4 linked regions of the Notamacropus eugenii genome follow. The protein of the gene in region 1 binds, or shares a complex with, the protein of each later gene. Links are inferred from orthologs where the notes say so. Each region holds a gene or a part of one and is shown in the gene's direction. Other genes may lie near its edges.

The links.
Region 2: SNRNP200 (region 1) and SNRPD2 share a complex: the UniProt entries of both Homo sapiens proteins name them as parts of the U4/U6-U5 tri-snRNP complex. The link is inferred for Notamacropus eugenii from reciprocal best matches to the Homo sapiens genes SNRNP200 and SNRPD2.
Region 3: SNRNP200 (region 1) and CWC15 share a complex: the UniProt entries of both Homo sapiens proteins name them as parts of the minor spliceosome. The link is inferred for Notamacropus eugenii from reciprocal best matches to the Homo sapiens genes SNRNP200 and CWC15.
Region 4: SNRNP200 (region 1) and SNRPD3 share a complex: the UniProt entries of both Homo sapiens proteins name them as parts of the U4/U6-U5 tri-snRNP complex. The link is inferred for Notamacropus eugenii from reciprocal best matches to the Homo sapiens genes SNRNP200 and SNRPD3.

Annotation. Positions count from the first base shown.
Region 1 is NC_092872.1:606,974,479-606,981,394, reverse strand, and holds the start of SNRNP200 (U5 small nuclear ribonucleoprotein 200 kDa helicase), read left to right. Parts: upstream 1-3,911; 5' UTR 3,912-4,949; coding exon 4,950-4,994; intron 4,995-5,620; coding exon 5,621-5,784; intron 5,785-6,916. UniProt on the Homo sapiens protein: Catalyzes the ATP-dependent unwinding of U4/U6 RNA duplices, an essential step in the assembly of a catalytically active spliceosome. Plays a role in pre-mRNA splicing as a core component of precatalytic, catalytic and postcatalytic spliceosomal complexes.
Region 2 is NW_027325105.1:194,629-202,634, reverse strand, and holds the start of SNRPD2 (small nuclear ribonucleoprotein Sm D2), read left to right. Parts: upstream 1-5,002; 5' UTR 5,003-5,246; coding exon 5,247-5,248; intron 5,249-7,521; coding exon 7,522-7,701; intron 7,702-7,831; coding exon 7,832-8,006. Other genes in the region: QPCTL (glutaminyl-peptide cyclotransferase-like protein), read left to right, coding at 2,878-3,053. UniProt on the Homo sapiens protein: Plays a role in pre-mRNA splicing as a core component of the spliceosomal U1, U2, U4 and U5 small nuclear ribonucleoproteins (snRNPs), the building blocks of the spliceosome.
Region 3 is NC_092876.1:163,313,042-163,320,553, forward strand, and holds the start of CWC15 (spliceosome-associated protein CWC15 homolog), read left to right. Parts: upstream 1-4,500; 5' UTR 4,501-5,182; intron 5,183-6,103; 5' UTR 6,104-6,111; coding exon 6,112-6,242; intron 6,243-7,512. UniProt on the Homo sapiens protein: Involved in pre-mRNA splicing as component of the spliceosome. Component of the PRP19-CDC5L complex that forms an integral part of the spliceosome and is required for activating pre-mRNA splicing.
Region 4 is NC_092875.1:1,748,487-1,755,806, forward strand, and holds the start of SNRPD3 (small nuclear ribonucleoprotein Sm D3), read left to right. Parts: upstream 1-4,313; 5' UTR 4,314-4,520; intron 4,521-5,139; 5' UTR 5,140-5,157; coding exon 5,158-5,283; intron 5,284-7,320. Other genes in the region: protein GUCD1, read right to left, coding at 2,455-2,546, 2,693-2,861, 3,454-3,538, 3,993-4,029. UniProt on the Homo sapiens protein: Plays a role in pre-mRNA splicing as a core component of the spliceosomal U1, U2, U4 and U5 small nuclear ribonucleoproteins (snRNPs), the building blocks of the spliceosome.

The DNA of each region.
Region 1 (6,916 bases):
GAGGGAGAGGGAGGGAGGGAGAGACACAGAGAAAGAGAGATAGAGAGACAGAGAGAGAGACAGAGTGCACACCATATTGGAGTTCCACAGACTAATAAAGGTACCAGAAATAAAAAACTCAGAAAGTCCATGGATTGGAAAAGAATAGCTGTTTTTAGTCTGAGAGGCTTTGAGTGGCTAGTTCCCTTCTTACATCTCAATATCCCCTTCCCCACCCCCAGTTAAAGCCAAAATTTCTAGTTCCAGGGAAGAAAGGTGAGGATATCCAACTCATATCCTCAGGTGGAGTTGTATTTGTGTCAACTCTACCTGACTGTTAGCTCCTGGGTAGGAGGATACCTATCTTCACTCACAAGCTCCACCTTGTGGTGAGATATATTCTCTCTCAAATCTTTAACTTCCTCCTAGTTACTGGCTCTTAACTTAATGAACTCAAACATGCCCAAGTCTCCCTCCATCCTAAAAACCTTCATGGAACACTACTATTTTCTCAAGATACTACCTTCTATCTCTCATCCCTTTCTTGGTCCAGGTCCAGATCCTCTGTATAAAATGCTGCTTCTACTTCTCTCACCCTAAGCGCTCCACATTACCTGTTTCATCTGTCTTCATGGCCATTGGAACAAATTGCTCTCATCCACACATTCCACCAAAGGAAGTCTTCACATGCTTGGGGTAGACACCCCCCTAACTCACCAATGGGTTTGAGAACCCTTGGTTACCCTCAACCTGGTTTGGCTTGTCTGCCAAAATGGTTTACCAGGGTGTGGCCACTGCATGCTGCAACTTAGAGCCACAGGTGAGAGTTGAGTGGAACAGGTTGACACCAAAGGTGGAAAGAGCCCTGGAAAGGGCTCGGCAGCCATCACACCAAAGGCACTGTTCCTGTAGTGTACTTTACAGGGATATTCACATTGACAATGAGGTTGATGTACTCATTGCCAGAGCTAGCTCAGTATTTGGGAGGCTCCAAAGAAAAGTCTGGGAGAGAAGAGGTATTTGACTACCAAACTGAAGGTCTACAGAGCCGCTGTGCTGACCTCATTGTTGTATGCCTATGAAACATGGAGAGTCTACCAGTGCCATGCCAGGAAACTGAATCACTTCCATTTGAACTGTCTTAGGAAGATTCTGAGGATCACCTGACAGGATAAGGTACCAGACACTGAAGTCCTTGCTTGAGCTGAATTGTCAAGCATTCAAACTATGCTTCAGAGAGCGCAATTCCAATGGGCTGGCCACATTGTTCAAATGCAAAATGTATGCTTGCCAAAAAGACTATTTTATGGAGAACTCACATGGGGCAGGTGATCGCATGGTGTTCAGAAGTGATACAAGGACACTCTCAAGTCTCTCTCAAGAACTTTGAATTTGACTGTGCAACATGGGAGACACTAGCACAGGACCACTCAGCATGGTGTGCCTACATCATAAAGGGTGCTGTGCTCCATGAACAAAGCAGAATTGAGACAGCACAAAATAAACATAGAATGAGCAAATTGGAGCATCCACCCTAAATATTCACATGGACTATCTGTGCCCAACCTGTGGTAGAGCATTCCAAGTTCGCATTTTCTTACAATAACTTAGAGGTGTTCCATTATTAGTCTCTTAGATAAAGATTTAATATTGTTTTTATATCTTCTATTAATCACCTACCATGATTATAGAAATTTGTCATAAAAGGAAAAAGAGGGACATAGCCATAGTAAAGGGGAAAATTCTCCCCTAGCTTGATGTAAATTCCAGGCTAGAGTCATATAGGCCGCCAACTGCATTAATAGAATGTCACAGCCAGGCTCAGAATTAGCCTGGTGGGAAATTTTTCAATTCAAGAGGAAATGTCATACATTCAGGAGAGTCCTACCTTAACTCACATCAAAAGTCACTCTCCTGACTTTTCCCTGAGATAGAACTCCACCAGTGGTAAGTCCCAGATGTCACTCCCATAGGGTAGCTGAAATTATGAATCATTGGCTCAATGACATTTTCTGATTATTATACCTGGAATCAGATTCAGACTACCAATTACAGTCCCATAAGATTCAACTTTAATAGAAAATTTCATTAATCATTGCTTCGGGCTGCATTCAGTTATAATCACTCTCATGTTACTGAGAATAAATATTGTAGACTGACCTCTTAATAAAGACTCTAAGACTACAGACTGTTAAAACTAGGTCAATTCAAGATGTAATTTCAATATATACCACTCCAGGTATAATTTCATAATCACAAATCATCTCACAAACTTTGTAAAAGGATGTTAGTAATACATGAGATCTCATTTTCTCAACAACCATATTCCAGAGTTTCATAGCCTTGTTTGTCTTTCAGTTTTTCAAAGAGGACTGATAGCAACAAAGGCAGAGTTGCATAAAGTCATTAACCACACTCTCTTCCAGAGTCATAGAAGTCCAGTGGTAAGACATAAGTCAAGAAGACTGGGAGTGCCTGGGATGGAGTGGATGGCCTTGGAGTCTTTGATGCCTAAGCTCTAAGCACTCCACAATGCCTACTTCAGCTGTCTTCATGGCCATTGGAACAAGTTATTTTCACTTGCCTGTTTCCGTGGGAGAAGTCTTCACATGTTAGACATCCCTCTAATGCACCAATGGATTTGAGACCTGTCAACCTAGTTTAGGCCATGTGCGGAAACAATTTTACTAATATGTGGCTACTGTGCATACTACAGCTTCTTGAAGACACAGACAGGTGAAGGTGGACACTCAAGATGGATAAACAGCCCTGAAAAGGGCTCAGTAAGTCCTTAAATCAGTAGTGCTACTCCCTCCTGAACAACCCATACACCTGGATTGACTAGAAAACAAAAGCCATTTTAATCAGGCTCTCCCTATTTGTTTTCCCCTTTGATGAAAGAAAAAAGCAAGGATAAGAAATCTGTCCCACTTAGAAGAGGTCCAGTCTAAGCTGGCTAATGAGTAGATAACTTAGGGGCCGGGAATGATCATATTACTTGATCATAGCCCTTTAGGAACTGCTTGGTGAGCTTAAACTGAAACAACTGGGGTCTGACCAAATAGGAAATGGGATGGATTTCAGATTAATATGATACAGAATGATATTAATTTTCCTCAATAGTGACACATGTTTTTTAAGGTGATGTGATCATAGACTGAGAGCTGAAAGGGCTCTTAGAGGCTACTTAATCCAGATTTAAATCCTACAACCCCAAGTCTAGGTTTATTCCTTGTTGGCATTCTATAGGCTATGAAACATATCAGCCCTGGAGCTTCCAGTGTGACTCACCAAGGTCTCTCCTATGCTCTGCATTGATCTACTGAAAGTCTTTTGGAAGCTCACACCACCTCTGGAATATTTTTCCCATTGGAATACCCTCCTACCCTTGCAAGTCTACCTCCCTATTTGGCTGTTTCCTCCCAGATCTTCCATTTTAAAGAGGAGGCCCAGGCCCATCAATCTTTATTCCTCTCCAGGATGTGTTCCTGTTCATTTGCACAGGACTTTCTCTACAAAAGCAACACTTCACTCCTCTTTCCCTTCCCCCTTGTCTTTCTCCATTAGACTATAAACTCCTTGAGGAAGGAGCTTTCTGTCTGTTTATATTTGTACTTCAGGGGCTTGGTGTGGTGCCTGAACACTTAATAAATAACTGAGGGAGCAATGTCCAGGATCCCCCGGGAGAGAGCCATAGCATCTCCATGAGGTGTAGTACAGGTCAGAAAGCTAGCTTGCTTCCTCCCTTCCTTCCACGGCCCAAACTCCACGTGAAGGCTCCTGGGTGATCATCCACAGTAACTGTAGCTCTTTCCCTCCCAGCTGGATTCACTTATTTTTTTCTTTTGCTCATTAAAGGGGACATCCCTGCTTACTTCCTAAAGAGGCCTACTCACTCCTCGGGCCTTCCCTCCCCCTAAGTGAGCACCTGCAGAGACCTAGGCCTAAAGGGCCCCAGGCCTCCCAGTGCATCCTGGGCCGTGGCCAGTCATCCTGGATCCAGACGGCCCAGGGGGGAAGCGAGGCTGGTGAGCTGCACAGCCCTCCCGCCCTCAAATCAAAGTCCAGCGCAAGTCACGTCATCATTTCTCCCGTCATGGTCCTCTGAAAACGAAGGACGAACGCAGATAGAGGACAGTGGAGGCAGGCACAGATACAAAAAGGGCGTCTCCCAGCAAAATCGCTCCAGCGTCATCACCTCCCTGACACGTGACACGCCGCGGGCACTCAGGCCTTTGTGGGCTAACGGGGGGCACACATAGCTTACGAGAATAACAGCCAATAGTTACACAGCTATCCACTTTAGAGAGAAGACTGTCGCAGAGAAGCGGTCACTTGCCCTGGGTCCCGCAGTCATTGTTTTAAGAAATCTAATTTTAATTTTGAGAACATTAAGAACCCGAATTTTAAGAATATTAAGAATTCGAACTGAAGTCTTCCTGATTCCCTATCTAACCATTATGTTGTCCCAGTCATGGCAAAATTGACGATATCGGTCTTGTATAAGGAACGACCCGTTTTATTGATACTTTTATATTTGCCTCTAAGGAGGAAGAAGAGAGAGCAACACTTCACATAGTTCAAACTACTCGGACCTGTCCGCGATTGCTGTTGCACATGCGTACTAGCACGCTGTCGGTCCCGGCGCAAACGAGGCGACCGCGCAGGACGTAACTACCGACAGTAACGTCACGCCGGACGCGCGACTCTCGCGTTGAATAAAAGGAAGCCGGCTTTCTGAGACTTGGGGATTTGTGCACATGCGCATTTCCTTTCCCTCCCCTCAATTGAGGAGGTCGAGTAACCTGGAACCGGAAGTGAGGCGTTTTCAGCTCTTTCCTTCCTTCCTTCCATCGTTGCTTCTATCTAACGTTTCTGTGGTGTGTGCGTAGTACTGGAAGAGTAGATAGAAGGAAAGAAGGGCTTTGAGGAGATAGATTCGACCCCGGGGCACTTGAGCAGGCGCAGCCATGGCGGATGTGACTGCCCGGAGCCTGCAGTATGAGTACAAGGCCGTGAGTGTCGGGCCCGACTCGGCGCGGGGCCGGGGGAGGGGGCGGGAGGAGGGAGGAGTAGAAAGTGGACAGAGGGGTTTAGAGGCGACCACATTCCAAGGAGTCGTGAAGGGCAGCCGCTGAAACAGAGTCCGAGCGCGGAGACCACTAGAGCCCCCCGGGAATCCTGAAGAATGCGCCCGAGAGACCGGGCTGGGAATACGTTGTCTCCCGCCGTCAGGCACCCCTGGTTCATAGACTCCGAGTTGTGTACTTGCTGTGGGTGCTGTTTTCAGGAGGCATCCCCGGGAGTGGGGCATCCTCTTATTACAAGAGTTTGGGCCGCATCTACGTGTATTGTTAGGAAGTGCCCGCTCCTAAGCGCACAACTACGCACTTCATTCTCTCTTTAAGAGATGTTTTACTTATTTTAACATTCATTTTAAAAACTATTTTTGAGTAACAAATTCACTTCCTCCCTATCCTCCCCTCGAAAGGGAAGCATTGCAGTACTCATGTGTACGCGTGAAACCAGGCCCTATTGTCAAGAATTATCATCTAAGTAAGGGGAAACATTTGCAGGAATTGAGTTGCCTGCATTCAGTCCTGCTGTCGTTGTAGCTCTGTTCATATTGTGATTATTCCAGAACTCCAACCTTGTCCTCCAAGCTGACCGTTCTCTGATTGACCGAACACGGCGTGATGAGCCGACAGGGGAGGTCCTTTCACTGGTGGGGAAACTGGAGGGCACTCGAATGGGTGATAAGGCACAAAGGACCAAACCCCAGATGCAGGAGGAGAGAAGAGCCAAGTGAGTATATGGAGAATTCTCTCCTCTTCCTTGAAAATGAAAGTATTGAAGTCCATCCGACATCTGGTTTTCACCTATGTTCTGTTGAAATGCTTGAAGCTTGAGCATAGAACTACTTGACTGGAAATCCCTTTAGGATTTTAGAGATCCTTCTAAACTTAAGGTCACATATGGATACTTTCATAAATGTTGTTTTACGAATGAATGCTGGTACTAAAAGATGTATTAGAGATGTCTACCCTCCTTCATTACACAGAATCAGTTGATAAGCTTTTATTGCCTATTGTAGGACAGGCACTGTTCTGCAGGTGCTGTACCTCTAGCTACTGAAGACCCATAAAAGAAAGTTATTGCCACCAAAGTTCTTGTCAAATGACTTAACAGCTGAAACTGTTATAATTTTATTGGTAGAAATAACATTAAAGAGGAAGCATTAGTTAGGTGCTTTGCTCCTGTACCCAAAAGACCGTGGAACCTTTCTATTTGACTTGAAGCTGAAACTTTTTATGTTTTGTTTCTCTTATCAAAATGAGTTCTTTAAGAGCAAGGACTACCTTTTCTATTTGTATCCCCAGGACTTTATGTAGTACTTCGCACATAGTAAAGCCCTTAATAAATACTACTTAAAATTTACTTACTCATTCACTGGGGACTTAAATTTTAAAAAATAAACTCTACTTAAGTATATATATGAGTATATACAGAATAAATATAAAACTAATAAATAGGAAATAGTTAAATAAAAAGTAGCCTGGGAGGGAAGACAGTGATTAGGAGCTCAGGAAAGGCTTCATGTAGAAAGTGGGACTTGAGCTACATCTTGAAGAAAGAGAAAAATTTTGTGAGGTCAGGAAGGGGTGCATTCTAGGGAGGGGAACAGCAGGTACCAAGGTAGAGACATGCAATGTCTCTTGTGTGAGGAACAGAGAAAAGATGAGTTTGACAGGCTCTCAGAATTCAGAAGAGGGAGTAAAGCCTAGTGAGGTTAAAAAGATAGGTTTAGGCCACTTTGTGAAAGGCTTTAAAAGCTAAACAGAAGTCTTTATGTTTGAAGCTAGAGGCAGTGGGTAACTACTGGAGATGGTTGAGTAGGTGAGTTACATGGTCAGATTTGTGCTGAAGGAAAATCACC
Region 2 (8,006 bases), on another chromosome or scaffold:
TTTGAAGCAATGGAATAGCAGCTGGTGGGCCCATGAGCTGGACCTCCAGGGAGGGGAAGGAGTCCATTCACTGGAGAGCTGGCGGCTCACTGGTCATGATGCTGGACTTCAGAGTCAGGAAGCCCTGAATTCAAATCCTGACTCAAACACTTACTCTTGGTGTGACCCTGGGAAAGTCGTTGGACTTCTCTGGGCCTCAGTGTCCTCATCTGTAAAGTGCTGATGATAATGTCCTCACATGAAAACCCTCCATTTCATCCCCTGCCCTGACTGGGGATCACAGCAGGTGATATGTACAAATGTAGAGTGATATGTAACTCTCCTGTATTAAGCACCTACTGTGTGCACCTAGCTTAGAACTGGCACTTGCTAAGTACTTAAGAGATCTTTTTGATGCACAGACAGCTCATTTGGTCCTCTTTACAGCCCAGCTGTTTACTCACCCCCGTTTATATGTGAGGAAACTGACACCCAGAGAGTTTTGACTGAACAATTCCCACCATCCTAGCTCACAGAAGCATCTATAATAGGCACAGTTTCTCTCAGGTACCTAAGGAGGAATCAGCCAATTCCCTACTACACTGACCTCCCAGTGGTCTTTGGCTACAGAGGGCAGGGCTCCTGCTGCCCCTTGGTGCACAGTCAACTGGGCATCCGTGTAGCCCAACAGCCTTGGACCCCTGAGCTGAGCTTATCCCAGGAGGTGAGATGCTCACAGGCTACAAAGGCATGGCTGAGCCTGCTCTTCCCTGGGGAGAAGCCCAGAGTCCCCTCCAGGTCAGGAAGGCATCAGCTGTGGACATAGTGTCCCCTTTGTGACAGGCTCCTTAGAGAGGAGGGCAGTCTCTATCCAACACCTGAAATGTGCTCATCCATGAGCCTCAGGACCATCTTGTAAGAGGTCCAACAGATAATATTGTCTCCATCTCACAGAGAAAGAAACTGAGGGTCAGAATGGTTCAAGGACCTGCCCATGATCACCCAGCTGACCTTCAAAGACCACCACTCTAGTTTAGACCCCGTGTGATCACGGTGCTACAACAGTCTCCTCCTTGGTTTCCCTGATTTCTCTTTCTCCCCTCTCTGGTCCATCCTACGCCCAGCTGCCAAAACCATCATCACTCCCTTGTTTAAGAAACTTCCCTGGCTCCCTATTACCCCCATCTCTAGCTTGCCTTTCCAGGCTCATTTCCCCTTTTTCCCTGTTCATATATTTTTCTTTTCCAGTCACACTGGCCTTTTGCCATTCTCTGACTGTGGACTTCAGTTTTCAATCTCTGTGCCTCTTTGCCTGGGAGGCTCTCGACTTCCTTCCAAGCTTAGCTCATCTGGGGTTAATTCCTCTCCAAAACTCAACATTCTGCAGCACTTTAAGGCTTGCAGACTTTTTCGGATTCACTGTCTCATTGGGTCCTACAAAAGAACCCTGGGAGACAGGTACTACTGTGCTTCCCATTTTGCAGATGAGGAAGCTGAGGTCCAGAAAGTGTCTGCTGTGGGATTTGAACCCAGGCTTTCAGTGCTCCCTTCCTCCTCCTCCTTAAAGGTCCTGAATGATATGTCTATTTTAGCATGTTGTCACACACAGTGTGAGCTCTGAGGGCAGGACTCAGTTTCCATTTTTGTCTTTGTACTGTCAGCACAGAGGGCCTTAATAAATGCTTGTTGGGTTGGCGTGGAAGTGTCCAAGGCAGCATCTGAGCCTACACTGCCTCTCCCTAGCAGGTGCAACATGACATGGTGGGGGCCTTCGGCACTTGCGCAGGATAACATGTTTTTATTATTAAAGCTATCTCATTATTTTTCTCATTCTTTTAACACTGGCAGTCTGAGCCCAGCAGACAGGGTAACTCTCCTGAATGGTACAGCTAGGAAAAGAGGATGCATCCTGTCCCATGCTGAGGCAGGCAGTCATCTCCTTTACTTTCTCCAGGGCTCTTGAACATCTGCCTCCCATGCTTCTGGGTCCCTCCTCTAGACCTGGCAATGTCCCCTCTAACATGCTCCTGGCATCCTAGCCCACCCAGCCCTGGGGAGGGGCATGTCTTCCCCCTTCATCACTCACAGCTTTCTACATCCTGGCTTCTAGTGTAACATGAGACAATAAGGCTGATGGTCTCGATGGGTCTTTCTAGTTGTAGATCTGTAACCTCTGTGATTCAGGACTCTGAAACGTCTCCCCCTCATGGCTGCCCGCATCCTTCCCACTGCCTTCCTCCTCCTAAACCTATTCCTCAGCATGAACATCAGTTCCACCACCTTCCCCAATCATCACTCCCCCCTTCTTGGCTTCCCTTTCTTCCTTTTCCTCTCTTCACAATCTTGACCAGATCTAAAGTAAACTGATTCGCCTCTATACTGTCCTGTACCTTTTGATCTTGTGTCTGATGTGTTGTATACCAGGCACCGTGCTAAGCACCAGGGACACAGAAAGGCCAAAGGTGGTCTCCATATTTGGGGAGCTTCCCGAGCCCAACCCTGGGTTTGCCCACCACCTGCCTTCTCTGCTTCTTCTCACAGGGGCTGCCTAAAGCCACCTCCAATTCACAAGTCTCCCGGGCCCTCCCCCATCACCCCCCAAGCTTTCCACCTCCCCCATTGTCACCCATCACGATGAACTCCCTCTTCTCCCTAATCCCCTCCACAGCCCCCCCATTCTCTACATTTCCAAGCCCCCAAACTGCCCTGCCCCCTTTTCAGTCTCTCTCACCTCCTTCCCTGTGACCTTCATGACCTTCATGCATTATGTCAGGACATTGTCCCACACCTCACATCTCAACAGGAAAGCTGCCTTCGCTGTCTTTGCCCCCACTGCAGTACCTCCTGGTGGCACACTCTCAACCCTTTTGCAAAGCTAACTTCAATCCCACTTCCCAGGGGACACCAATTTCTCCAGGATTCCAGTGACCTCTCTTTCGCGGGTCTTCACAAGACCACCTTATCCTGGTTCTCCATCTGAGCCCCCCACAATCCCCTCTGCTGAATCATCGGCACCACTGACAAGGCCCCTGCCCCTGCCCTTGCTCCTCTCTAGACCAGGGATGTGCCTTTGACAATCTGGTGAAACCTGTGGACTCCTCAGACTCGTGTTTTAAATGCATAAACTAAAAATACATAAGATTATGAAGGAAATCAATTATACTGAAGACGTCTTCTAAATGTTCTTTAAAAACACAAGTTCACCGTCCCCTTGTTAAGAGTGCCTCTTCTAGACTCTCTTGCTAACCTCCTCCACCTCAGCCTAGAGATAACCCCCCTGTGCCAGCCCAGCCCTTGGCCCCCTCCAGAGCTCCTTGCCAGCCAGGCCCTGGGTGCATCCATTCAATGTGTGTGGTCAACAGGCCCCCCATGGATCTCATTTCCCTTCCCAAATCCCCCCATACATGTTCTTAATGTCTACTTCTGTCGATGGCCAAGCAATTGCCCACACTATTTTCCCAGCCCAGATGCCAAGGCTTGTGGGTTCTACCTGCACAGTGTCCCATCTGTGTCCTTCCTCCCCTCCTAGGATGGCCCGCTCAGGCCCTCCCCAGCTCTCAAGAGGCTTCTGGCTGCCTCTCCTGCTCCCACCCCCACCCCCACCCCCACCCCCAGCTGCCCCAGGAGTCTTCTCCTCTGCTGAAGCAGCTTCAATGGCCCCCTAGCTCTTCCAGAGTCAAATAGGAAGGCCTCAGCTTGGCTGTTAGAACCCTTCCCAGTCTGAGCATCCCTCTGACGTCCCATTCCACTTTCCAAGACTGGCAGGCCTTGCCTCCATGTCCTAAGATCTCAAGCTCTGGACAGAGCCGGCCCAGCTCAGCCTCTAGGTCTCCCCTCCAACCTGAGGCCCTTCCCAGCCCTCTGGGGTCTGTGTCCAAATCACATTGCATTCCTCCTTTCACATGCTGTAACCTTCCCAGCAGCACATGAGCTCCTCCGAGCCAGGGGCGGCAGTAATGTACATGGTAGGTGCTCAATAGATGCTGATCAAACTAAACAATTCCAGTCACACTGGCCTCTAGCTTCCCTCCAGACTCAGCTCAAGGGCTGGGCCTACTTGTTAGAACTCTCCCCCAGTCCTGGGAAATAACTTGGCGCTGACTCTACATGCAGGGAATATGAGTTAACATTTAGACGGCCACTACTGTGCACCAGGCACTGTGTACAGCACTCTACACTTCCCCCTGGGAGGCATTATCACCCCCATTTTGCAGATGAGGAAATGGAGGCAGGAAGAGACTTCTCCAGAGTCACACAGCTACTCAGTGTCTGAGGTCACATTTGAACTCAGGTCTTGCCAACACCATGGCCAAGGCTGTCACCCCTGCTCCGCCAACTGAACAGATTCTTGCCTGGCAGCTGATGAAGCGTGGAACTTGTGTGTGATGGACTGTCTGCTTGGGCCGAAGTGTCGGGGCAGGATGGCCCTGAATCACAGATTAGCTCTCCTCCTCTAACATGCTGAAAAGGAGGCCTGGAGAAGCGGGTCCGAGGCAGGCTGGAACCCAGGCTCTCTGCCCACTGTACCCCCTGAGGAGGGCCGTGCATGACCAAACACGGCCGGGCCTTGGGAGGCGGGGAGGCCTCAGAGAGGCTGGATGGTGGCTTCTCAGAGGTGCCCAAAGACGGCCGGTCCACTGCCTATCCCCAGCCCAAGGCAAAGCGATGAGGGGGCACCACCACGTACAGAGCCCTGGGCCCGGAGTCAAGATCCGAGTTCCAGGCCAGCCTCAGGCGCTTACTAGCTGCGGCTTCACAAGGGTAAACTGAGGCCCGGGGAGGGCCCGCGGTCACGCGGGAGGCGGAAGGTGGCAGGGGCGGAATTAGAACCCGGGTCGGGCGCTACCTCACGGCCACCACGGGGAGGGCGGGAGCAGAAGGCTTGCTCTTCCCCTAACCCCTAAGCTGGAGCTGAAACGCGTCCTCGGGAGCCCTCCCTGGGACGTGGGCACCGAGGACTCCGCCCCCTGAACTAGAGACGGGATCCCGGGTCGCTATGACAACGCGCCTGCGCCAACCTTTCCCTCGCGAGTCTTTCCGGACTCATCGCGCATGCGCCGAGCGCTCCTTCCTTAGCATCTTCCGTTACACAACCGTCTCTCAGCCCGGAACCGGAAGTGCCTCTCTCCTCTCGCTTCGCCTCGCTGCGCTCCTTTACACCGGAACCGGAAGGTATTCGGGGCGGCAGAGACAGCGGAGCCAGAGCGCAGAGGCAGCCGCAGCGCGAGGAAGGCAGGACTACAAAGGAGCGAAGGGCCACCGCTACCATGTGAGCGGCAATCCGCCCCTCGACCGAACACGGGGATGCCATCCGGGAAGGGGGCGCGGCCGGGGCCACGAGGGGGCGGAGTCGGGGCTGAGGGCGGGCGAGCTAACGCCCCTACTTGGGGGGAATCGCCTGGGCGACGTTGGCGATTAGAACGCGCGGGGCGCGTGCGGCCGGTGAGCAGGCAGCGCGCGAGCGGCACGTAGTGGGATACAACTGGTGGGAGCGAGGCGCGCGCCGAGCACGTGGAGCCGAAGGCGGCGCGCGCGGCCAATGGGGCCAAGGGGCGGGCTGGGAAGGCGTCAGCGCGGCCAATGGGAAGAGGGGCCGAGCCGGAGAGGGGCGCTGGCGGCCAATGGGGGAAAGGGACGGACCAGTCGAGCCGCTCGAGGGGCCAATGGGAGGAAGGGGGTGGGCTGCGGGCATCTGTGTGTCTCCCTGCGTGTGCCCTGGATCCTGGATTCACGTCCTGCCCTGCTGTGAATTTAGGGAACATTGATTTAATGCCAACAGCTAGGCAGCAGGGCAGGTAGAGAGCAGGGCCTAAAGTCAGGAAGATTTGAGTCAAAATTGGGCCCCAGGCACTAGGCAAGTCACTTCACCCTGTTTGCCTCAGTTTCCTCACCTGTAAAAGGAGCTGGAGCAGGGATGGTGGAACCCCTCCAGCCAGTGTCTGCCAGGCGGCTATTGAACCTCTCCCATTGTTGACCCTCAGAAACCAGTAAGCTTTCACCTCTGTCAGCCCAACATCTGCTTCCTCTGGAGTCAAGTACAGTGAGTCTTAGTCTTTCACTGACCTAGGACAGTCATCCTTTTCCTAACAAAGCCTTTTCTTCTCTAGCTTAAACATCCCTTCATCCAGTTTCTTCTGAGCAGCCTGAGAAAATTCCTTCCTGTTTCCAGAGTCACTGACAGCTAACCTGAAGGAGTCTTGGGAGAAATATTTTTCCGCATACCTTGTGTATATAGTCCAGCCAGACTGGTCTGTCTATTTTCCTAAACAGACATAGTCCTTGTGCTTTCCACCTATGGTACCCTACAGCCATCTTCCTGTAAAAATACTGGCCTTCTCCAAAGGCAGTTTAAAACAGAGTGAGGCACTCTGTTTGGCATCAGGGCCCTTGGCCTTAGACCCTTACTCTGTTTGCCACAGCTGTGTGGTCTCCTAAGCTACTTTTTTTCCCATGATCATTTGCTTTACTAAGTGCTTACTTAGTAGAACAAGCTTAAAGATTATAAAACAAGACAATTCCTGCCCTCAATGAGCTTATGTTCTAATAGAGGTAGGCAGTGTGCATAGGAGTATGGGGAGTTCCTGGGATGGTGAATGGAGCCTTGGGGAAGTGAACTGACAAGGCCTGGGGAGTAATAGTATGAAAATGGATTTAATTATTATTTGGGGGTGAGACGTGGGGCAGAAGAGCAGATGGTAACATGGCCAACGCAGACATAGTGAGCTATGTGATTTTACACAAAGCATCTGGGATAACACAGCCCCTCTCATGGGAGTTCCAAAGCTGAGAGGGAGATCTAGATTCCCTAAGGTTTGTTCTCTGGAGATCTGGTGGTCTAGAATGGTACTTTTTAGGGGAAGGTTCTTCTATTTGCATGAGGTAACGAGTTCCCTGTCACTGGAATTATTTGAACAAAAGCTAGATGGTCCCTTCTCCAATGCTGTTGTAAAAGGTATTCATGCTTGGTTAGTATTTGGACTAAGGTCCCTTTCTCTCAGTATCTTCCAGCCTTAGGTTTCTTTGAGTCTGAAATGGGATGGGATGGGATGGGATGGGATGGGGAGCCTTCCCTGTGGGTAACACCCACTGAACCAGCCACAGTTTTGAGTGGACCCAAGTGGGGCCCTAGCTGGGGAGGTCTGCATGAGTAGAGCATGAATGGAGAATAGCTTGCCAGGTAGAAAGTGATCCAGGTGGCAGAGGAGCTGCCCCACCACCACCAGCAGATGAAAGGGGAGTTTTGCTTTGCAGGGCAGAAGGTTATGGAGGCTCTCTGTCCCTGGCCAGGCCACATAGTGAACTTTGCCATACAGGTCATGTACAGAGCAGATTGGGGTAGAGGGTATGGTTAAGGCAGTTCAGGGACCTTGGTAAAATGGGAGCCTTAAGGGCTTCGGTGAGGGTGAGATGAGGCTCCAAGGACAAAGAGTTCGGTTATCTGGAGAAGCCCAAGTCCTAGGTAGGGAGTTATCAGTGGGCCTGAGCTCGTGCCCAGGGCTTTGGGGGAGTGCCAATGTGTCTGTGTCTGTGCATTGCCCCCAGGAGTCTCCTAAACAAGCCCAAGAGTGAGATGACCCCTGAGGAGCTGCAGAAGCGCGAAGAGGAGGAGTTCAACACCGGGCCCCTGTCAGTGCTCACTCAGTCAGTGAAAAACAACACCCAGGTCCTCATCAACTGTCGCAACAACAAAAAGCTTCTGGGCCGAGTGAAGGCCTTTGACAGGTGGGGGCTGGCTCTCCCTGGTGGCCATTGTGGAGGGTCCTGACTGGGGGCAGGGGGCATGGCAGAAGGGAGGGCGTCAGGGTAGGCTCAGCTGGTTCTTGTGCTCATCCCCTGCCCCTCCTGGTCCTAGGCACTGCAACATGGTCTTGGAGAATGTGAAGGAGATGTGGACAGAGGTGCCCAAAAGCGGCAAAGGCAAGAAAAAGTCCAAACCAGTGAACAAAGATCGTTACATTTCCAAGATGTTCCTGAGGGGGGATTCAGTCATCGTGGTTCTCAGGAACCCACTCATTGCTGGCAAGTAG
Region 3 (7,512 bases), on another chromosome or scaffold:
TGCCCATTAAGGGGAGTTTGATTAGGGAAGATCTGTGGGAAGGCCCATGCCTTTTGTTAATGAGGCACTGGTTCTCAAAGGGTGTGATACCCTCTGGCTCTAAAAAAGGTATAAATACTCTGAGTTGAGGTTTTACTTTGGGACTGACTGACTGGAAGTGTTTGTTTGGCCAGACAATGACTCTGGGAAGCCACTAAAGAGCCCACTGGCTTTGAAAACCCAGATGTCAGTGCTTCCCTCTCTGGTAACCATGGTCAGACAGCTGGACTTGTCTGTTGAATTATGGTCAGGCAGAGGAAGCCATGTCTATTGATCTTTGATTTCTCTGTATTTTCTTTTAAGTTCAGGGTGCTGACTCCCCTGAACTAGGTGAATAATATATATCCTTGGTTAAAGGAATGATACATGTGATTAAAGTGATTGTTAACCCCTCAAAAGTCACCTTTCTTTTTATAAATGCAGACCTAAGAACCTGTGATAGCAGGCCCCCTGTGTATGTTGGGGTGCTTACTGTTACAAATATGTAGATGGAAATTGTTATAAAGCCTTAAAAAAATCTAAAGTAGGTTTTGATCTGGTTCTCCAGGAGTATGTCACTGGGGAAGTAGTGAAGAGAAAAGGGGAGGCAGGAACAAGACAGGGTTCAGAGATAATGAAGTTTTAAGTCTACATGATTGAGAGGATGGTGTACAAAGATGAGTACTGATTCGTGGTGGTTGAACTCAAAGGGCAGATCTAACAACTGTGAATGGAAGTTACAAAGAGGCTGATTCTGACTTCATGTAAGGAAAAAGCTCTTTGAAATCAAAGCTGTCCAGGGTGGAATGGGCTGTCTCTGGAAGTGGTAGATTCACTGGCTTTGGAAATTCTTAATGCCAAAGCTGAATACCCACATTTTCAGGTACAACTTGGATAAGATTACCTTGAAACTGCCTGTCATTCCGAGTTTCGGTGATTTTTCTATTGTGTCAATTCAGCAAACATTTATTGTAGTACCTATTTGCAAAGCCCTGTGATAGGTTCTAGACATTCTATGGGTCTCTGCCTTCAACTTGCATATCAGGGACCCTGCCTATACATCTTTTCATACTAGCACCCACTATTTACATATACTAGTAAATCGAGAAATCTTTGTCCATTAAAAAATATATATATCATAAATAGACACTATTAATGGACAATGACCTTAGCTCAGAATTGAAGTGGAAGAATAGTGGAGTGAGCTAGATTTTTTTAGGGAAATGGCAAAGTTTCTTCCTGAGGGTGTGAAAAATGATTAACAACCAACATCTAGGGGAGATTCAGAGGCTCTCCCTTTTTTCTAAATTTCTCATTTTAAAAAATTCAGTTTTCTTGAAGGACATTACTGATAATGAGATTGCAATGACTCTCCTAGATCTTAATCAGACCCCACCCAATCTTGCAAGGAATTTAATCTAGGTTGGGGAAGTCCACCGTGTACTCCTCAGGCTTGGGGAAGGGGGTACAGATCCTTTTGTCTAGATAGCCCAAGGCTGCAGGTGGTCTGAGTAGAAATAGTCTTCTCTGTCCAAGGGTGATGTGATGATGGATGACATGAGCCCCTCATTGGAAGGGTAGATAAACTATGAGCCCCACTGCCATGGCTGTCTTTGGTCTAAGAGAGGCAGCCAAATGACCATCCTTTTATTAGTAACCTGCTGTTCTTAGTAATAACATGATTAAATTTCCCAGGAACTATGTCTCTTGAACATTTTTCAACATCACAAAAAGAAAAAAGGATCATATTTTATAGCATGAATATTCTTCTGGTAATGACATATGGCTGTGACACTACAGTCTTCAAAGAACTAAATTTAAGGATTAATCAAAGGGCAATGAAAAGGCACACAGCAGGGCAGGTATAGTGCTTGAGGAAGAGCACTAGATTTGAAGTCAGAGGACATGGGTATGTCACTGTACTCTCTGGACCTCAGTTTCCCCATCTAAAAAGTCAGGGGGTTGGACTCAGTAGTCTCTAAGATTCTTTTTCAGTTTTAAAATTACAATCATTACGAACATGTAATTATGTAGGGATAGTCTCCAAATCTGTGTAGGGAATTCCAGGCGAGGAAATTCCCTCTACCAAAGCAGTTGTTTCCTAATTAACAGACTTAAGATGGTTAGTTGCCTAACTCTTCCATGGTCATACGGCTAGAATATGCCAGAGGCAGGCCTTGAGCTGTCTTTTTGACTTTAATGATAATGATAGCTAACATTTATATAGCACTTACTATGTGCCAAGCCCTCTGCCAAGGGCTTTAAAATCATCATCTCATTTGATCTTCTTAACAACCCTGAGATGTAAGTGCTATTATCATCTCCATTTTGCAGGTAAAGAAACTGATGCAAAAAGAGGTGAAATGACTTTCCCAGGATCACACAAGTAGTCAGTGCTGGAAGCCAGACCTGAAGTCTGGTCTTCCTGACTCCAGGCCTAATTCAGTAACTCTTACAGATCCTTGACTCCACCATTGTTCCCCCTCCCCTCCATTTTCTCTGGCCTACCATCTCTGGTGCTGGAGCAGGAAGGGATCCCCCAGGATACCTGCCAGTGCTCAGGATGTCAGGGACGAAAGCCTACTTTCACATCTCCTCAGGATTTTTCTGACTGAATCCTACCAATCCTACCCTTTCAAAGATCCAATATGGAGATACGGCTCAAGTCCATAATAAGCTGACTCACTCAAATAATTCCTTAATCATTCCCTTAATAAAATGTGTCTAGGTCAACAAGTTATTCAAATGAAGATATCCTTCCTAATCAATGCTCCCAAGCTGTCAAGTCCCTAAGAGGAGTCTCCACATTCTAAAAAAGGAAATTCAATACCTATCAAGGACCCAAAATCAAAGTAAGGATAAACATGGTTAGAACCCATCTAGTTGAGCAGGTGCCCTTATTGGCCCTTTGCTGCATTCCTTTTCTCATTTACTTCACATTTTCTAGATTTCTGAGTTTTCATTCTCAACTTTTCCTTGTGTAACACTGAATAAGAATTAAGAAATTTCAAAGTTGGTGTACCACAGTAATGATAATATAGTTGGAATAAAAACGGTGTTAGAAGTGCTGAATTCTCATCTTTGCTAATTTCCTTATCTGTAGAGAAAGATGTCTAAGATTTTATCTTAGTTCACATTCTTTAACAAATGATTTCTAAATGTAGCAATATAAGAAATAAGAAATCTCATAAAACCAAGTGTAAAAAACACTGGGAATCTCTGGGTTCCTGATCACTTCTCCCTTCCAAAATGAGCACTGCTCAAGACATTGCTTAAACCACTAGCTTCTAGTCTTTTTGAAGTTGAAATATCCATGGATCCGTGACAAAAGCTACAGTTATCTGTCACTTTATGCCTGTGTAGGTACTCCTTCAACAGAAGCAGGTTCTACCAAAGGAACCTTCAAATTTTTGCTTAGAATGTCAATCCTAAGGAATTCTCTTTAGGCACATAGAGGTTGCATGATGTGCCCAGGCTTAAAAGCCAATGTGCCAGGGGCAGGACTTGCACCCAACTCTTTTTCATTCTTGTCTTTGAACTCTTCCACTACTCCAGGTTATCTCTAACCTTATTATCTGATTTGGGCTGGCAGGGGTGGGGAACATGTGGCCTCCAGGTCACATTTGACCCTCTAGGTCTTCAAGTGCAGCCCTTTGACTGAATCCAAACTTCCCAGAACAAATCCCCTTAATAAAAGGATTTGTTCCATAAAATTTGGACTCAGTCAAGGACCTAGAAGGCCACATGCTGCCTTGAGGCTGCAGGTTCCCCACCCCTGGATGGGAAACCCTGTGTCTGGTTGGGGAAATCTCTCCCCTAGTGCAAATCAACATCTCCTCTGCTGCTTTAAGCGTTGCTGGAGCATTGAGAGGGTTCGACAATGTGCCCCTTAAGTCACTATGTGTCAGAGTCAGGGTTTTTTGGCCTCACCGCCTGCTCCTCTGGTCCACTCCAGTGGTGTCAAACTGAAAAAAACGGGCAATACTAATCCACACGCAAAAACCCCTGCCACTATATATTGACTTAGCTTTAAAATGTAATTTTAACCGTTTTATTATATTTTTATTTTGTTCGCTCCTTCCCAATTACATAGTAATCTGGTTCTGGGAGTGTGGCAGACCCACAAGCAACCTGTGTCTGACACCTCTGTACTACACGGCCTCTTCTCTGATTTTTAAAAATTACTTATTATTAGATCAGTGCTCCGCGCTAAACGCGGGGATCTGTTTATGAATTCAGTTCTATTTACAGGGTAATGTATTTACAAGAGCGACACGAGGGACTCAAGAAACCTACGGCCCTGGGTATCTTCTCCCCCGGACTTGGGCAGCTCTCTCCCCTGCCCTTCAGGCATCCTCATCACAGCCCATTCCAAAGCCTCTCATCCGGCCGGGCTCTGGCCCTGGTCCGCGGACTTAAGGCAGATGGGGAGGCCAGGGGCAGGGGGCTTCTAGTTTCCCAGTCGTTGCCCGGATACCAAAGGGGCACCTAAGGGGTCAAGCAGTGACACACGACTCGCCCACCTCCTTTTCCGTCTCCCCAGAGACACCTTCGACGGCTCTCTCCTCGGGTTCAGGGAAGCTCTTTTGTTTGTCAAAAAAGTATCGGTCCGGCTGCATAGGGAGAAAACGGGCGGCCCAGGCCTGGGGAGCCGCGTCCCCCTCAGGCAGGCCAAGGGACTCATAGTCGACCCCTGGCGGCCACACGAGGGCGGCGCCGTCCACAAGTCATGGCTTCCTTCCGTCTGGCTCCGCGCAGGGCAAGGACAAAGAGAGCTGGGGCGAGGTGGAAGGGAAGAAGCCTTTGGAGAGAAGAGTGTGAGGAAGAAAGAGCCTAGCAAAGAACTGGATGAATGACTGTTGGCCAGCCGACCTACAGTTAACCGGAAAGGGCGGGCTCTGGCTTGCCTCTCCCGGGCGTCCTAGCGACTTCCGCTTCTATTCCCGCCCCGTCGGCGGCCTTTCTCCCCGACGATTGGCTGTTGGCTTTGGTCATATGACGCCTTCCGTTAAGCGCGTCTCCGCCACCTTGTTTTTCTTTTCCGGTAAAAGAGAGTCGAGTTGTTTTCAAACTCTATGCTCTTTGGGGGTCCCGGCGCGGAGAGTTGTGGGAAGGTGGAGGAGTAATGGTGCTGGCATAATATCGGAGGGCCGTGGGACCTGAAGTAAGTGATTCCAGAGACCTCTCTCTCTTTAGCTCACGGGGAAAAAAAGAGTTTTTTGGGGAGCAGTGGGGCTGGGAGATGTGGAGAGGCAGGAGAGCTGAAGGGAGAAGCCAAGCCGCACGGGTTCTAGGGCCCCGGGGTCGGGTGTGAAGGGAAGGCCCGGGCTCGGGATGCTGCTGGCGCTTTCGCCTTTGCTGTCCGTCCCCGGGTCTCCTCGGATTTCCGGTGGTACTTCCCCGAGTCTCCCTTTTGCATTAGTTACCGGGGGCCCTGCCGCCCTCACCCCCCATTACTGCGTAAGCCTCTTGAGGGCCGACTCTGGGGTATCTTCTTTTGTATTGTTGACGTCTGGAACATGGAGACCTTGGCTGGAAAGTTAGAATTTACAAAAGAAAACATAACCAATTCGTGCCACATCGTTATGAGCTGCATGCTCATTTGGGGCAATAAACTTTAAAAATAGAAAAAAACCCAAAAAGACCCTAGGTGCCCCACGGCCTTCTGGGCCACCGCAGGCCGTCCTGAGCCGTATCTGGCCCCTCGACCCAGAAGGTGAGGCCGGAGACCTTGCGCAGCCCTGCCTGCCTCCCTGAGTCTGATGGAGATGAGAAAGCCAGTACTACTTGCCAAGGCTTGTGGCCCTAAGAATGATCGCTTCCTCACCTTCCCAGGACTTGTAATTTGCTATGGTAGGTCATTGTTTGGGGGGCGAGGGTGTTCTCACAGTCTACGTGCCGTGGTGATGTTTATGGTCTTTCAATAAAGGTACAGATAGAAAAAGTTACAGAAAAGGGGATGGTGGTGATGCGTTCAGTTAAATGAATTTTGAAAGCTCTTTTGCATAGGATTTTAACTGTTTTTAAAACTAATAATTTTCTTAAGTATGGACATGTGACTGAATATAATTGTATATCCATGAAGCCTCGAAGATGACCACAGCGGCAAGGCCTACATTTGAACCTGCAAGAGGTGGAAGAGGGAAAGGGGAAGGGGATTTGAGTCAGCTTTCAAAGCAGTATTCAAGCAGAGATCTACCTTCTCATACGAAAATTAAATACAGGTAATAATGACTAAATGTTTCTTGTAGAGAGTTTTTCTTAAAAGGCAGAAGAAATTTTGTATGGGGTTCTGTAACGACCTCTTCTGGATAATAGGGTGTTGCTATATATGTCAGTTACCAGAGAATTAGCAATAAAATATGAACATTGACATAAATTTCATTCTTTAATGTATAATGAAAATTTTTTTTTAGTGTTGGGTACACAGGCACATAAACACAACTATGTCTGTGTCAACGCACAGACATGATGATCATAAAACTCTTCTGTGCCATGAGATTGTGTTTTTTATGGTCCTCATATCTAATTGAGATTAAGTTTTTCTTTCCTGCTAAACATGGCCTGACTTGACACTGTACGTAAATTCAAGCATATTTAATTAGTGTCCTTGCATTTAGTCCATCCTACCAGTAGTAGCAAGAACTTTTTTGATTTTGAACTTTATTTTCATCATTATACTCCTGATTACTTACTGATCAAAAATCAGACTCCAGGTATCCCAAGTACCTCACACATGCATTTAGACCTTGAAGTATTGTAATGGGTTTTTAAGCACCCATATGAATCTCTTACCTATAATGTCTTTGTGCTAATACCCTGGCTTGTAATTTGAGTTTCAGGCATTCAAATATATTCACTCCCCATCTCATATTACTTGCTTTACCCTTTTCTATACTCTACAATAAAAAAATAATCATTACTGTCTAAACTCCATAAATGAGATGAATAAGATAATAGTCATTTAAATACAATGAGTGTATGCCAAGAAAAGCTAGATTCAGATTGAATCCAGAGGTCAAGTATAAAGGTGACACCTACTAATGCTTTAGTTTTCTCAAAGCAAGATGTGTTGAGCATAAAAGATAATCAAGGAGACAGATGTGACCATGTTGAGACTTGCTGGAATCATGAAATTAAAGTAGAATCAGAATAATACATTAAGAGCAATTAATACCTACTCAGTGCCAGTCTTAATATACACTTCTGGAACTTCGAAATGGTCGTAACAGGTTTGAAAAGTATCCTAACACATCCTCTACAATGTTAATGAAACATAGGATCCATCACTGTAAGGTAGCTATAGAAAGAGATTCATGCTGCCTCTCCAAGAAGGACAGAGATTGATAAACATTCTTAAAGCACATAATAATCAAGTCTAAAAGCTACAGAAATATTTTTAGACCAAGCAGACATTACTTCACTGGGCACTATAGTCAATGCCATTAGTTTTGTTCAGTAAAACTGAAAATGGATAACCTCTAGAGGGATTGT
Region 4 (7,320 bases), on another chromosome or scaffold:
CTCCCAGCCAATGGACAGACGGAAGGGAATGTGCCGGTGTACTCAGACAGGGAGAGTTCTGCCTGCCTCTGGCCTCCCTTCGAGGAGTGGTCTTCCCACTGTACAATGCACTGAGGGATAGAACGGCTAAGTGAAACTAGAGAAGATGGCTCTCTAGAAGCAGCTGGGATGCCAGCCTTGGGAGAGGGCAGGAGACCACTTCTAGTTCTCATGGGTGAAGGAAGAGGATAAGAGCAGAAGGAAGGCCTCTAAGAAAGAAATCTGGAGGGCCCTGGAGTCAGGCAGGAGCTCAGAGAGTGGATTTCAGGAGGGTGGCATTTGACAAAGAAGGTGTATGATCAGAACTGTTGAGGAAAATCAAATGGCCTCTGGGCAATGGATGAGGAAGGAAGAGACAGATGGGCAAAGGCTGCTGGGTCCATCAGTCACCTCCCCCAGAGAAAGGCCATGGCATCCAGGGACAGGCTCACCCCTGCTCCCCATTCTTCTCTTCAGGGTTTGACTCCGAGGGAGGAGGAAAGGAGGGAGGCAAAGGAAATGCCGCCAACAGGAAGGCAAAGATGAAAAGCTGATTTTGGCCAAGCTCCCCAAAGGGGCACCTAACCTGCCAGCCTTTTGTGAAGGGCTAGGAACCGCTGCCAGTGCACACAACTTGCCTAGGGCTGGGTGAAGTTTTTGATAAAGAATCTCATGCTAGTTTTGGGCAAAAGGTAGAGATGTGAACTTTTTGGTCACTCAGTCACTTCTGACTCTCCTTGATCCCACTTGGGGTTTTCTTGGCTGAGATGCTGGAACATTTGCCATTTCCTTCTTTAGCTCATTCAACAGATGAGGAAACCGAGGTAAACAGGATGAAGTGACCTGTCCAGGGTCGCTCAGCTAGTAAGTGTCTGAGGCCAGACTCAGGAAGTGGATTCTTCCTGGCTCCAGGCCCAGGTTCTGTTCTCAATGGTGCCATTAGTGGACCCACATGGACTAAAGAATACAATGAAATGAATTCAGAACTGGCTGATAGGTTGGTCAGTCATGGACCTTTGATGAAAATGTGGAAAGAGGTCTCCAGTGGAGTGCCCCAGGGATCTGACATCGATGGTCTGGACCAAGACACAGATGCCCAGTGGAGGACAGAAGGTGGGGAGGGGGCAGACAAGATGAAATAATAGCAGCATGGGTGGCGGGGTCTTAGGTTTGATAAGCTCCCCCGTGACCTCAGAGGCTCCTGACAGCCAGGAAGGGATTTGAGCTCCAAGGATGGCCTTAACAGGGTCTGGCGGAATGAGGACAAAAGTCATGGTCATGACAATGGCAGTGACAGAGAACAAGGGAGGGAGGGAGGGTCCTGGAAGGGCTAGCTCTGCCACAGAGGTTGCCCGGTGGGCAGACAAGGCTCAGTGACCCAAAGGGCCCAAAAGACAAGCAGCAAGATGAAGGGAAACCTTCCCAGTGAGTTTCTCTGATAAAGTGTCATTTCTAAGATGACATAGGGAGCATTGAGAACCCTTCTCCAATCGATAAATGGTCACTTTTCAATAGAAGAATCTAAGTCATTAAGAGCCATGTGAAGAAAGACTCTGAATCTCTGCTTATTGGAGAAATGCCAACCAGCCAGCGCCAAGGATCTGTCTCAGCCCCATCAGATGGGCAAAGCTGACCAAAGATGAGCCATGTGGGAGGGGTTGGAAGAATCTAGAGGCAGGAAACACTGGTATCACTCCTAGATATCTACCCCAAGGAGACCAAAGCAAGAGGAGAAATATCAATAATAGCTCTTCCTGTGGGAGCAGAGAATTGGAAACTGAGGCAAGGCCCATCAACCAGGAAATGTCTGGTCAATCTGGGCTGTAGCTATGATGGAGCAGTACTGAGCTATGAGAAACGAGGAAGGTAATAGGTCTGGGGAAGACTGGGGCAGAGAAGAGATCCAAGAACAACTACTATGATACCAGTGAGGTTCCTGGGAGCAGCAGTGCCCTGGGGGCATCAGGTACTCGGGGTGGGACTCAGCTGGGGCCTCGGGGTCAGGTCTGGGCAAGCTGGGGTGAGAAGGGCCTTGAGCTGCGGATCCACGGAGGGCTCAGGGCAGAGCTCTCAAGGCTGAGCTGGGAAGATAGGGCGGAATGGCACCAGAGCTGTCCGTGGGAGATGGGGGCTGTCGGCAGTGCCAGCTTTGCCACATGTGTGCTGAGGTGCCCAGGAGGGTGGGCTGAGGCTGTGAGCTGAGCCTGTCCCTTACTACCTGCGTGGCCTCGCTAAGCCTCAGTTTCCCCATGTGTAAAATCAGCATCAAGGCTACTCTTGGATAAACACTTTCCAACCACGGGAGTTAGAGCAGGGAGAGCATGGACACTGTCAAGGAGCGCACGCAGCAGGACCTGAAGCCCAGCCGCCACCCTCTCTCTGGGCCCTGGCAGGGATCAGACTCAGGGGTGCCCGGGGGCAGGGGAGGGGTCTCACCACTTCTCCACCAACACCTTGCAGGACGAGGCCCGGGCGAACAGCTGGTTGACCCGGCTCTCCTCGGCGTCGAAGTGTCTCCTGTAGAAGGACTGAGCGGAGAAGACGGCGTTTAGGCCGCGGTGGCCACTGACCTAGGCACGGCCCGGGCAGGGAGGGTAACAGCGCCAGCCTGGGATCCCCCTCTCCCCCCTGCACAGGCCCCCTTCCCAGCCGGGACAGCGGGGCTCCCCCACACCTGGTTCCGGTAGCCCTTGTCCACGCCCAGCGTCCGCGTGCAGAACCGGTGGCGCGCCCCGAAGTGGCGCATCAGGTAGGCCAGGTCGATGGTCCAGATGCTCCGGGTGAGCTGCAGCTCCTGCAGCGCCTGCTCGAAGGCAGCGTCGTCCTCCAGGAGCTTCAGGTACCTGGGGCGGGGGAGTGCGCGGGTGGGCCACTGGCCAATCATCGAGCTGAGGGAGGGACTGGGGCGGGCCCGGGCAGGGTAGCAGCCAATCCCCGAGCGGGGGAAGGGAGAAGACGCCAGGCAATTACCGAGCTCTGAGGGAAGGCTGGGGAAGGAGCAGAGGGGAGGCATCGGCCAATCACTGAGCTGAGGGCGGGGCACGGTGGACCATCGGCCAATCACCGAGCTCAGGGAGCGGGGGAAGGCGGGGCCTGAGGGGGGAGGAAAGAGATGGAGGCGCGGGTGGGTCACCGGCCAATCACAGTACTGGGGCGGGGCCGAGTGGGGCCGACTAATCCCCGAACTACGGGAGCGGGGAAAGAGACAGAAGACAGGGACCCGCAGGGGGTCAATTACCGAGCTCTGAAAGGACAGGGGAGGGGCCGAAGGGAACACCGACCAATCACCGAGTTGAGGGAGGGACTGGGGCGGGCCCGAGTGGTGCACCTCCCAAACCCCAAGCGCGGAAGGGGCGGGGACAGGGACGTGCCGGGTGGGCCAGCGGCCAATCCCGGAGGTCAGAGGAGGGGTCACCAGCCCGGGCCCCGCCTCACCTGAGCACCATCCTGGAGCAGGCCAGCCCGCAGTCCCAGTGGTACAGCTGCTGCACGATGGGCACCTTCAGTTGCACGAAGTCGCCTGGGACAGAGGACTAGCATCGGAGGAGGGCGGGGTTGGGGCCCTCCCCCCATGGTCCAGCAGTGACCCCGCCCCGCCCCTCCCAATGTGCTGGCTCCGCCCTGGGAGCCTTCGCCCCGGCCGAAGTTCAAATTCCGTCCCCGCCCTGGCCAGTCCTGGGGCTCCTCCGCCCTAGGGGACCCGGGCCTTTGGCCTCCGGATCTCCCGCAGAGTCCCAGGCTGGGCATCCAGGAGATGCTAATTCCGTGCCCCTCAGTCTTGGTCAGGGCGGGCTAGGACCCCGTACATGGACCCCTGGGCCGTGCCTCAGTATCCCCCGCTGGGAGACCGATCTAGGACCCCGTAAGCGGACTCCCTGGGCCGTGCCTCAGCCTCCCCAGCTGTCAGAACGGGCTGACTCCATAACCCTTCCCTTTCCCCCTGCCCGTGCCTCAGACTCCCCGGCTGCCCTCACCGGGCTCGGCCCCGGCTCCCTCGGCCTCTTCCCTCATGCCGCCTGCGGGCGGACGGGCCGGGGCTCGGGCTGTGGAGGCGCCTTGGCCATGGCCCCGGCCCGATCCGCTTCTGCCCGGGATCTCGGCCCCCGCCTCGGTTCCTCAACCCCTCTCCGGCCCCACCGCCGCCACGGCCGCTCCCGGGAGGACGCGAAATCTCTCACGGCGCATGCGCTAGCGCACGCACAGCGCGCCACCGACGCGGCACGCAAGGCGCAGAGGCCGAACCCAGGCCACGCCCCCATCCTCCATTTCCCGCCCCTTTCTCGAGCACGCGCCATGGGCCCCGCCCTCAGGCCCCGCCCCTGTAAGCCTCTAGAGTCTCTTCTCCCGCTCCCACCGGGCTGTCTAGGGGCGGAGCGATCCCCGGAAGTGCCCACCCCGCTTCCGGGCCCGGTGCATGCTGGGACCGCGAGACCCGCCATTCAGTTGCCGCTGTTTGTCGCACGTTCGCGCCGCCGGAACCGGAGCCGGGGCGGGGGCTGCAGGTGAGGCCTGGGCCGAGGGGTCCGCGCGACCCGGGGCGGGGGGAATGGGAACCGGGGGGGGGGGCGGGAACGGGGGGAGAGTAGCGCGTGGGCGAGGGGCTCTGGCTCGGCGTTCAAGGCCATGCCTCCCGCCCCCGCGCCTTTCTCTGGCAGGGCCTCCCTCAGCCTCCTCCAGGGATGCCCTGGGCCCCGGGAAGGAGGGCGCAGGGGGGGGTCTCCAGGCTGGGGGCGGAGCCCCATCCCCACTCCCTGTTTCCCCCAGCCCTGATTCGGAATTTGTCCCCCCCACCTGGACACCAGCGGCGGGGCGGCAGCCTGCCTCAGTGCCCCCCCCAGGCCTTCCTGCACCCGGAGCCCCTCCCCCCAAGTACACCTCCCAGCTGCGTGCCGAGCTCTAATAACAGCGCCCCCCATCTGCGAGGCGCTTACTCGGTGCAGCGCCGGACATTCAGTAGGTGCCGCCTAAATGCTTGTTCCTCCCCAGGGTAGGAGGAGGACCCCCATTGTCTTCTCCTTCACTCGGACCCGGGCCTGGCGCAGGGTTTCCGGGCTGTCGCTGCCCGGTTGGGTCCTGGGGGGCTGGGCTCCAGTGCCTCACGTGTCCCGCTGGGCCCCGCAGGTTCTCGCTGTCGCCAGAATGTCGATCGGTGTGCCCATCAAGGTCCTGCATGAGGCGGAGGGGCACATCGTCACCTGCGAGACCAACACCGGGGAGGTGTACCGGGGCAAGCTGATCGAGGCGGAGGACAACATGAACTGCCAGGTACGGCGTGGCGCCGAGCGCGGCGGCTGGGCACGGAGGGGCGGGGCAGCGCAGATATGGGGGGCAGGCGGGCACTGAGGCTGGCCGCTGGGCATGGAGGGGCCAGGCAGCGCAGACATGCGGGGCAGGCGGGCACCGAGGCTGGCCGCTGGGCATGGAGGGGCCAGGCAGCGCAGACATACGGGGCAGGCGGGCACCGAGGCTGGCCGCTGGGCACGGAGGAGCGGGGCAGCGCAGACATGGGGGTCAGGCGGGCACCGAGGCTGGCCGCTGGGCACGGAGGGGCCGGGCAGCGCAGACATGGAGGTCAGGCGGGCACCGAGCCTGGCTGCTGGGCACGGAGGGGCCGGATGGTGCAGACATGGGGGGCAGGCGGGCACCGAGGCTGGCCGCTGGGCACGGAGGGGCCGGATGGTGCAGACATGGGGGGCAGGCGGGCACCGAGGCTGGCCGCTGGGCACGGAGGGGCCGGATGGTGCAGACATGGGGGGCAGGCGGGCACCGAGGCTGGCCGCTGGGCACGGAGGGGCCAGGCAGCGCAGACATGGAGGTCAGGCAGGCACCGAGGCTGGCCGCTGGGCACAGAGGGGTCGGGCAGCGCAGACATGGGGGGCAGGTGGAGGCAGCCCGCTGGGCACGGAGGGGAGGGCCCCTACCCACCCCAGGTCACGTGTGGTCAGCAGCCCGGCTTAGGGTGCAGGGGCCGGGCAGCACAGACATGGGGGGCAGGTGGGCACCGAGGCTGGCTGCTGGACATGGAGGGGAGAGACCCTACCCACCCCAGGTCACGTGTGGTCAGCAGCCCGGCCTAGGCTGCAGGAACCAGAGGGGCTGGGCAGCACAGACATAGGAGTCAGGCCAGGTGCCAGGCTGGCAGCCTTGGCGGTTTCCCCGCTGGTAGTAATGACAGTAACAACTAATGACATTCATTTTGTGGCAGGTGTTAATTGTCTCCTTTGAGGTCCAGACAGGCCTGGGGCAGGCTCTGTTAGGATCCCAGTCTATGGTTGAGGAGCCTGGCCATTGCCCAGGGTCACCCACCCGGCGTCTGAGGCCTCCCAGTGGGAGGATGCAGGGAAGGCTTCCCAGAGAAGGAGGTCATAGAGGCTGGAGAGAAGCCTCATGGGAAGGCTGCCCTGAGGTTGCAGGGACGGGGCTGGATGGCCCGTGCTGGCAGGTGTGGAGGCTGGACAGCCGAGCTCAGAGCCAGCTGTCTTGGGGATAGAAGTGGAAGGGAGAGCTGGTGGGCAGGCAGGCACTCAGTAAGCATTTCTGTGCCGCACTCCAGGCAAAATCAGTGCTGGGGAGAAAAGGGCAGACCCTGCCCCTCCCCTGGGGAGCTCCCAGTCTGAGGGATGAGACAACAGGTAAGCAGCTCTGGATGATGGGGGAACCAGAACCAACCTAGGCTTCTTGGACAAGGTGGGATTCAACTCCCAGAGATGGGAGAAGAGAGGGTGTTGTAGGCATGAGGCAGCCATTGAATTCAAAGGCACGGAGGTGGGAAATGGAATGTTGTGACCTGGAGCAGAGAAAGTGTAAGGTACCAAGAAAGGCAGGAGACGTCTAATTATAAAGGCTTTGAAGGCCAGGCAGCATTTTGTGCTTGATCCTGAAGGTTATAGAGGAGGAGGGTGGGGGTGATATGCTCAGACCTGCGCTGGCTGAATGATGTCCTGGAGAGGAGACTGAGGCAGGCCATCCATCCAGGTGTGGAGCAGGGTGCCACCAAGGTGAAATGGTTGGGCTTTAGCACCATGTTGGATCTGAAGGGGTGCGAGGGAATAGGGAGCCCAGGGCCTCCTGGGAGGTGTGCCAGGGGCATGGCATGTCTGGCATGGCAGAGACTCAGAGGTGGAAGGGGCATCGCCTCCAGCTCCGCCCCTGTGACTTCCATTCTCAGTGTGAACACTTCTCCAGCTCTGACCTCTCTGTCCCCATCGCCAGTTAGCCGTGCTTCATTCCAGTTGGATGTCATGCCTCATAGGCATCCCCCGAGTCCTCCTCCCCGCTTCTTCCCCTATAGCCATGGAGGAC